Linked DNA regions of Danio rerio. The protein of the gene in region 1 binds, or shares a complex with, the protein of each later gene. Links are inferred from orthologs where the notes say so. Each region holds a gene or a part of one and is shown on either strand. Other genes may lie near its edges.

Region 1 (4,751 bases):
TGCCACCTCTTCTGCTTTGAACATAAATTGTGCACTAACATGTATAACAATATGTGATAATCTCTAAGCACAATATTAGCAAAAATATCGTTAGAATAAAAAAAACTTGTAAAAATAAAACTTAAGTTGATGAAAATTATAAGAAAATTAGAATTTCTAAACATTCAAAATAAAATAAAATCATAATAAAACCTAATAAAATGTATTTTTACACCGGCATGCATATATTTATGCATTGACCATGTCTTTTTAAACAGGATTACTACAGCAGATATCTTGCCTTTTAATCACATCAAGCACTCCTTGGGCCACGGGTGCAAAGAATATTCCACCTTCAAATGGTGCATGATAGTGACCCTCAAATCCTATTTGACTTTTTCTTTATTGCTATTAACCATTCCAATTGGTTGCAATGATTTATGAAAACATGCACTGAAAATTGACATTTCTGTTGCCAAGTGAAATGTTGTGCAGTAAAGGATTAATTCATTTAAATGTGTAACAAATGCAATTTTTAAAACTCAACAACAGTTGTCACTTTTAAGGTATGTACTAATGACCGTTTTTTTGCCATGTGTCAACAAAGTGTAACAAAAGAAAAAACAAACTTTCCCTGATTTTCTAGATTGTCAAAGAAAGCACATTCTGATTTTTATGTGAATGATTCAGGATGTTGCCAAGAAAACCAAAAGGACGTGACATTTACACACGCTCACTCTTTTCCATTCTGACACATTAAACGAATGCTTATTTGTTCAAGAGAATTCCGTCAGAGCTATTATTTGTACTTAAATGTCACTGTGTCATGCAAAAAAAGATATTTCTTCAAACTTTAATTTTGAATTAATTATTGAATAAATTATAAATTGTAAATAGTCTCAAATATAGGTCACTTTAAAATCTATTTAAAAGTCTTTTTAGGCCTCTTATATTATGCCTCTTTTTACAATTTTTGGTGTTCCTAAAATGTGTCTGTGAAGTTTCAGCTTAAAATACCTGTCAGACCATTTGAAAATGTCAGTTTTTGGGTCAGAGCTGTTTGGTGTCTTTGGCTTTAACTGCAAATAAGCAGTTTCTCCTGTAATGAAAGTAGAATGCAGGGTTTGGGCATGTCTGCCTAGCGACACGAAACTGATACTGATTCTGATGAAGCAGAGACCTAGTCACAAATACCAAAACTAGAACTGAATCAGAAAGTTTTTGAATGTTTTCAGAAGTTTTTTGATGTACTTTATAATTATTTGATGTGGCCTTTTTTGCAACGATAAATGGGCCACATACTGTACAAATGCACACACTTTTCTTTACAAAAAACATTTTAGAAGCTCCAAGAACATTATTGTGTGCCATAAAACTGTAAAAAATACTTTTGTTTGCCTTTGCTCATTCGTTCTTTGTTCTGTTTCACATCAGTTCAGGGTGTGCACTTGCTACAGGCAGTCTGATATATTGTCATTTTAGTCAGCAGAGCAACACAATAACATTTTATTGGTCATATTAAATGCAAACACTAATCTAAAATGGAAAACACTGATAAAAAGCAAGTTGTTTTTACTCTTTTTTTTTTTTGTGCGAATAAAGGTGTTATTGGAACTGTGCATGATTTTAGTTTAACCACTGAAGTCACATGGAATATTTTGACAGCATTTTGGGGTCTTTTTCTGGACTTTGAATGCCTGACTACGGCTGTCTGTGGAGGATGAAGGAAGCTCATTTGTGTTCAGAAGATGAGTGAAGGTCTCAGGCTATTGACACTTATTAATATTAGAAATTAAATTTTGGGTGTCACGGTGGCGCAGTGGGTAGCACGATCGCCTCACAGCAAGAAGGTTGTTGGTTTGAGCACCAGCTGGGTCACTTTGCAACTCTGTGTGAAGCTTGCATGTTCGCCCAGTGTTCGCGTGAGTTTCCTCCGGGTGCTCCAGTTTCCCCCACAGTCCATAGACATGCGCATTAGGTCAACTGAACAAGCTAAATCGGCTGTAGTGTGTGTGAGTGTGAAACAGTGTGTATGGGTGTTTCCCTGTGTTAGGTTGCAGCTAGAAGGTCATCCACTGTGTAAAACATATGCTAGATAAGTTGGCGGTTCATTCGGCTGTGGCGACCCCTGATTATGAAAGGGACTAAGCCAAAAAGAAAATGAATGAATTAAAAATCTAACCCTTTAAGTCTGAATGAGTGGAAAGTGAAGTAATAAGGGTTTCTGAAATCAATATTCCTTAGACACATGCTAGTGTAATTCACAGGGTGAAGTAAGTTGAATTTTTAAATCAGAAGATTTTTTTTAACTTTGCATATAATGTATGCACAATCTGCATATGCACTTGACTGTTTTGAGCCACTTAGATTGTCAATGAGGTGTTAAACTGAACCAGAACATTGATTTACAGCCGGAAAAGAAACAGAGATGACTAAACTAGACTAGAAACACATATAACTATAAGATTAAAATATATAACTCTATTTTAAATTAGCACAACTCTAGTTTTATCCCTTGAAGTCCACGTGAAATCGAAATTTACAATGTATATTTTGTTAGCACACATTCTTATTCTTTAGGTGAACAATAAATCTGTGCAAGATAATCGACTAAAACAATTTTGTTTTGGTAATCTTCAAAGTCTAAACATTTGCTTCCACATTTAAAGTGGCATTCATTTTTTGTTGATTGTAGCTATTGATAACCAAACCCCTATTACCGTTAGTTTACGAAGAGAGAATAATGAGTAAAAAGAAAACCCTGACCCCTACTCAACAATCCATCTTAGTCGGAAGTACAGTGACTTCCTGAAATAGAAGTCTTAGCAACTTCTGGTTCACTCTGACTTAAAACTTTTAAAAAGCAGATACTGGACAAGGATTAATCTTTCTAATGTGCACGGGTTTCCTCATGCAAGCATGTAACATGCCAACACCCTATTTTAATTCATTATTATAACAAAGGCAGTCACACTTTAATAACAAATGACACCCACAAGACAATCCACCAATCAACACATCTCAAAATAATTAGCTAAATGAGTTGGCTTTTGAATCAGACACCATCACTGAATCATTACTTATTCTCCTGGTCATGAACCGACAGTCATTTTTTGATTATGTCATTTCAATATTAACAAATGTAAATTTATTATCATGTATATACAGTGCATCATGTGAGACCTACATCATCATATTTACCAACAAGATAATCATATGATCATAAATGATTCATCTTCGCAGCAAAGCTTTGTTGAAACAAATAAAAGAACAAAAATGGCGATGTAAAGAAAGCAAGCATGAAAATCCTAAATCTCATGTTGAAACAGATGGCTCCCATAATATTTTGATTGAGATTCATTTTGATTCTGAAAAAAAAATCTCCTCACCTTGAAGTCATAAGTGTAGTTGGTGTAGGGCATGAGATTCCCCTCATAGGCACTCTTCAGCTGGAAACTGTGTGTGATACTGCCATCAGGCTTGCCGTTTTTGCCATTGCAGCTGAAGTTAGTTAAACAGTCGCTGTAGCGCAGTTCTTTAAAGTCTTTGTGATTTTCTGCAACTCCGCCATTGCTCAGATACTCCACCACACCTGCAAGAAAGAGGTCAGGAAAACGAGTGATTCTGAGACAAGAGCTTCTAATCTGAAGCAAAAAATAAAATTGGCTGTTTTTTGACATTCAAAAGATAGTTCACCCCCAAATTAACATTACAAAGCTATAGGTAGTTTTCTGCAACATATTTATAACATGTATGACATGTTATTTTCTATTTTTTTAATTTAATGGAAGTCAAAAATTTGGTTATCAACATTCTTTAAAAAATCTTCTTTTATATTCTTGCAGAAGAAGGAAACTTCAAAAATTTAAACATGTCAGTAAGATTTTTGGGTGAATTATTACTTTAATTTGGTAGCAGGCGAATTCAGTAAGCTTTGTTTATTTGATCCAATTGTAAGGAACAAAAAGGCTAATCAACAGCCACCCACTCTGTAAGTGCAATTTTATGGCTTGCTGAAATATATTAATGTCTTAGATTAGTCTTAACAAAAACTGTAAACAGTAAAGAGACAAATTTACTAACAGCTTGCTTCAATGCTAACTGTCTTTTTAGTTTTACCAAACACACACAGCAGAGAGAAATATCTCTGAAAAGGCACTGACACAGTTACTTTTTTTTAAAATATACATTTGTAAGAGTTTCCCAATTAGACACAAAATTTATAGGATGAAAGTGTTTAAATGTATAGCGCATTGCAATTTAACAACATTTGTGCTTCTCACATTAGATATTTGCGTCATTATTTAATGACTAAAAATATAAATATCACACTTGAAATGGCTACAGTTGTTGTTACCAGGAGAAGACAATACAGGGAACACAGAGCGCATGGTATAAGACTTTTTTTACCCCACACATATTTATTTTGGAATGCCAAAGGAATACAATCGCTCAAATATACTGTTTGCCAAATATGCTATTTTGAATTTGTTTTAAGAAATAAGAGACTACTGGGAAGTAACATCTGAGTCACACAATACCAGCATGATCATGGTTCCCTAAGACAATGTGCAATGTGTTCTCTTTGTGCCTGAAAAGCATGCATCAGATATACTGTAGCTAGTTGTAAGTAAAAATAAAAAGTGCCTTGTGGTCACTCACATTCCTGTCTATTTTGTGAGCATGTCCATTCTTTGACCAGTAAATTTTTTTAGTAAATATTTGGCACAAGGAAATTTGCCACTATTCTAATTTGCACTGTCAATATGTAA
Region 2 (4,751 bases), on another chromosome or scaffold:
CGAGATCGTATGCAATACGAGCATTCAAATCCCTTTGCTTGCGCGCCGATTTCCTCTGCTTGTTCACAAAACTTCTTACACACCCCCTTAAATATATGCTGCTCAAGCGCAGATCTTCTTGCGAACTCTCAAATAAAAAGCTGCTGAAATGCAATTTAGTGCTCCCATTTAGTATGTCTCCCAACATTTATTAGATTTGCTAGGAATATTTATTAATTTCTTATTAATTAATTTAATCATTAATTTATTAATCTAATTTCTAACAGAGCAGCATTAATGTGTCCTGAAGTAAAGTAAATCGGCTATAAACTCCAGCAAGATAAAGTCATTGCATGCAGAACCACAGACCTTTATCTATAAATAAAGTTTAATTATGAAAACTGTGTTCATCTTAACTAAAAGCTACGCAGTGTTTGCTGGCTTTACGCATCCCGCACTGGTCAGTCAGTCAGCAAAGGGTTTAACAAATAACGCACCGCACTGCTATGGTTACAGAAAAGTTTGCGCTGTTATAATTCACTTACTTTTTAATACATTTTGGTGCAATAATAACACGCTATTAAAAACAACAACAACAACAACAATGAATGAATGTTTTGAATGATAAGCTGTAATGTAGCTGTGGCAGGATGCATTTTGCTGTGGCTCCCCCCATGGAAGAATGAATGTAGCAGAAAAAAAGGAAGTGTATATGTATAAAATATCTACAAGCCTAGATGAATTCAATTAAGAAAAAGATACCAATTAAATAAACAGCATTTGATTGTTTTCTGACAAGTCAAACTCAATTCTGGTATACAGTAATTGATTAATCAAATGTAAAATAGTACTGCACAGTCTTTGTTTTTAAACAATTAAATAGTTACTAATTTGTTACAATTTCTTGGGCCTGAATGCTTTTAAAACCCTTACACAATCACAGGCCTCAAAAAAATACTTGCGAAATGGTAAATTATAATCCAGACTTAACATTGGGAATGATCACATTGCGATATCGATGCTGACATGATATATTGTGCAGTTCAATCCAAAATGCATTTTTTTTCCAGATCTGATAATATGAAAAATGTTACATTGTTAGAATTGCATTTGCATGCCAACATCTTCTTTAAACCTACTACCGAAAATATATTTACAATTATTGTTTTTATTTTTAGCACAAACAAAATCTTATTAGTCATTTTTGACCTAATGTGTACTTATTTTGTCACTCACTATGATCATAAACAGAAATCACTCAGAACTGCTAATGCATACTGAAACGAGACTATACTGAATGTCACAATGATTGTGTTTGAACACTCATGAAAACTAGCTTAAAGTAATCTTTCCACATTTTTGAAGTTGGACTTTTACATAAAGATGACTTGTCATTGCTGTTGGAGCATGTCAATAATGAATGGCGGTAGAGACAAATGATGGCATAATTATGCATGTTGATGGTACAAATGGCATTTTGTTTTCTGAAAACACTGAACTTTAGCTGTTTTATGAGAACCAAATGGCAAATTGTGACATTTTATTTCAGATTTTTCTAAATGCAGCATACAGTGATAAAATACACAGTAAAAGCATCAAATAAACATCTAATTGTCCATATAATTATTAGTTTTTAATCTTGTATTAGCACTAAAAATCTTATTTTGTTTGTCAGCAAGTTAAATAGAGAGAAATGCATTTAAAAATTAAATGAACACTAAGCTGGTCACAATCATATCTTGTTTTGCTCTCAAATAATTAAGAGTAAATGATTTAATTTTAACTGACCCAGTTAATTATTTTATTCAGCAAAGTTGCTTTATATTTATCACAAGTGACAGTTAAAGTATTTAGATTGTTACAAAAGTTATTTAAAGTAAATACTGGTTTGTTTTTTATCTGAATCTTAAAAGAGTTCTGTAAAAAAATGCATCAGTTTTTAATTTTTTTAGCAGCATGTAAACATTAGAATATACAAATATATAGAATATATAAAGCTTTACAATACATTTATTTTAATTTTAACTCTTTAATTTGACTTATCTCGTTTTCAGATGCTGCCGTCTCCCTCGCCGTCATCGTCAGGTCAATTGTCACAGCTTGGTGCAAGTTTGTACGGTCCTCAAAGTGAGTACTTGTCTGTGATCCAAATGACATCACGCCTGAGCTATTATTCAGTTCATAAAAATGTAAATCACTCTGTTTGTAATTGGCATGTAATCAGCGTTTATTTCAATTTGTAGGTGCACTAGGATTCTCAATAAGGGGCATGAGCAACAACAACCCTCAATTGAACCGGAGTTTAACACAAGGCACTCAGTTACCGAGCCATAGCACCCCAACGACAGGCGTCCCAACAATGTCCCTCCACACAACACCACCTTCGCCGAACAGGTAAACAATCTCTTCTACATGAATTATATTGTGTGGAATGACCTGATATTTAAAAAATGACCATTCTGTCATCATTTGCTCACTCTCCACTTGTTCCAAACTGGTTTGAGGTTCTTTCTTTCTGTTGAACACAAAAGTAGAAGTTTTTGTTCTAAACTGCCACTTTTTTTCCCTATTATGGATGTCAGTGGCTTTTGGTTTTCAATGCTATAAATATACCGTCTCTTGTGTTTAACATTAGAAAGAAACTCATATAGGACTCATGGATATTTGTTAAAGATATCTGTATGCTTGATTATATTTCAATTGATTATATTGGTTAAATTTTGAAAACAATAGTTAATGTTTGCATTCAACGGAAATTCAGTTATTTAATTAATTAAATTTGCTTGTATGAATTGAGTAGCCATAATGCTTTGCATTGTTGTGCCAAGTGTGAAACATTTATTTTCAGAAAATAAATTATTATTGTTATAATTATATAAATATAATGAAGAGTTCAGATGTAAAAGCTGCTGAACGCCACTTCTGCCAAAAATGAGCTGATGACATATGCAACAAATATGTTTGCTTCAATTCATCTAAATCCCAACATCTACCCATTCAGAAATAACAGTTTGTTGGCAAAAGCTTCTAAACAGCACTTGACTTTGACAGCAAAAGCAGATTTTTTTGTCCCAAAATCCCAAGAATCAGAAGGTGCTAATCGAGTCGTATGTTTTCAGTGTTATGGTTTGCTGATACGCCGGCTTCCGCTTTAAATATTAAAAGATGGAGTTTGATGAACAACATGAGCCTCTCTGATTGTCAGTGAATGGCAAATGAAAACTTCCTTTACCTTAAAACTGTAACATTAGGGGTGTCACGATTTCGATTTTTAATCGAAATCGATCAAAATTTATGCTCAAATTCGATTATCGAATCAAAAAATAGAATCGTCGATGCTCCCACACCCCCCCATGTCAGCTTGGCTTGCCAAGCGGGAAAAAAAACAGGCTTGTTGAAGTGCTTGTTAAACTGCAGAAGCAGGAGACCCGTCGAGAAAACTTAAACCCTCTCCTCTTTCAATGAAATCGCCGGTGTTTAAGCATTTTGGATTTCCAGGGAGTTATGTTGACAACGTTCGTGTTGTCGACAAAAAAACCCACAGTTTTGCAAGCTCTGCTGTGTACGTATTACGTACGGTTCGTCCGATAGACAACACCGGCATCGCGATCCTCCGCCCGCCCCCATTGCAAATCCGCTCGCGAAAAGTACACACTCAGGCCCTGTTTACACTGTCTTTGGTTTTAAATGGCATTTTAGAACGACAACGATTTGACATCCACAGTGGCGTGTAGCATTTCTGAGCAGCCCTCCTTTCTCTCTACCTCTGAAAATGCACATCACGTGACCACACAGACACAGACGCACACACAGCCATGCGCTCGAGACAGCAGGTCCAGGCAGTCAGAGGACTGCTTCAATCTTTCACTCACTTGTACTTAGTCATTTTAGCGAACACCTCAGATACTGTTGGCTGGTTCCTGTTGGTTGTGCGTCTTTTTTACCGACGCCATTATAACGACACAGATCACTGCCTATTCACGAGTCCCGCAGAAAAAGTGATTGACGAGTGGTAATTATGTGTGTATCTTGCCTTTATTCATTTACTGTATGATTTGTTTATGGGTAAAACAAAGACCATGCAGGTCAGGTAGTTTAAACGGTAGGCTACAAATGATTAAATGATGATTGGTCATTAATTAATTAATTATTCATAATCGAAAATCGAATCGAATCGTGCCTTTAGAATCGAAAATGTAATCGAATCGAGGATTTGGAGGATCGTGACACCCTTATGTAACATGCATGTTTTTTTTTTTTTGCACAGTCAAGCTACTTTAAATGAGTCCGATTTACTATTCATTACTTAAAACGGCAACTCCATTTCACGAAAGACAAAGTTAAGATGCTGTTCTTTTATCCCACATGGATGCTATGAGGATAAACAAGAGACAAAAAAGAGACCAAGACCTTGAGTATTGTGAGAAGAAATGAATGAATGACAGCTTTTAAAAGTGTCTGAGGGTGCTTTCACACCTGTGAATCGATTCAGTTGTTCCGAAATAGAGATTACAAATGTTACATTGTTGCTCTTTGCTCTTGGTGCGGTTCGCTTTCACACTGCAAAGTTTCTAATCGGACCAAAAGAGCTAAAACAAGTCATGTGAGAGTAAACTCTCCTCACATTGGTCAGAGTGTCAGGGTTTATTTTGCAGTCCCGCTCAGCTGTCAGGAGAGGTGGTGGTTTGGTGGTGTTTGACAAGGTGCGCGCGACGTGTGTAAAGAGTGAGGAGAGGGTGAGAAGGGTGCACGACGTAGCCTTTTTGAGGACC

Evidence for each region. Proteins that work in one complex are often made in the same cells at the same time.
Region 2: cnot6l (region 1) and cnot2 share a complex: the UniProt entries of both Homo sapiens proteins name them as parts of the CCR4-NOT complex. The link is inferred for Danio rerio from reciprocal best matches to the Homo sapiens genes CNOT6L and CNOT2.

Annotation. Positions count from the first base shown.
Region 1 is NC_133180.1:39,704,455-39,709,205, forward strand, and holds part of cnot6l (CCR4-NOT transcription complex subunit 6-like), read right to left. Parts: intron 3,572-4,751; coding exon 3,369-3,571; intron 1-3,368. UniProt on the Homo sapiens protein: Has 3'-5' poly(A) exoribonuclease activity for synthetic poly(A) RNA substrate.
Region 2 is NC_133200.1:31,061,127-31,065,877, forward strand, and holds part of cnot2 (CCR4-NOT transcription complex subunit 2), read left to right. Parts: intron 1-2,033; coding exon 2,034-2,106; intron 2,107-2,222; coding exon 2,223-2,373; intron 2,374-4,751. UniProt on the Homo sapiens protein: Component of the CCR4-NOT complex which is one of the major cellular mRNA deadenylases and is linked to various cellular processes including bulk mRNA degradation, miRNA-mediated repression, translational repression during translational initiation and general transcription regulation.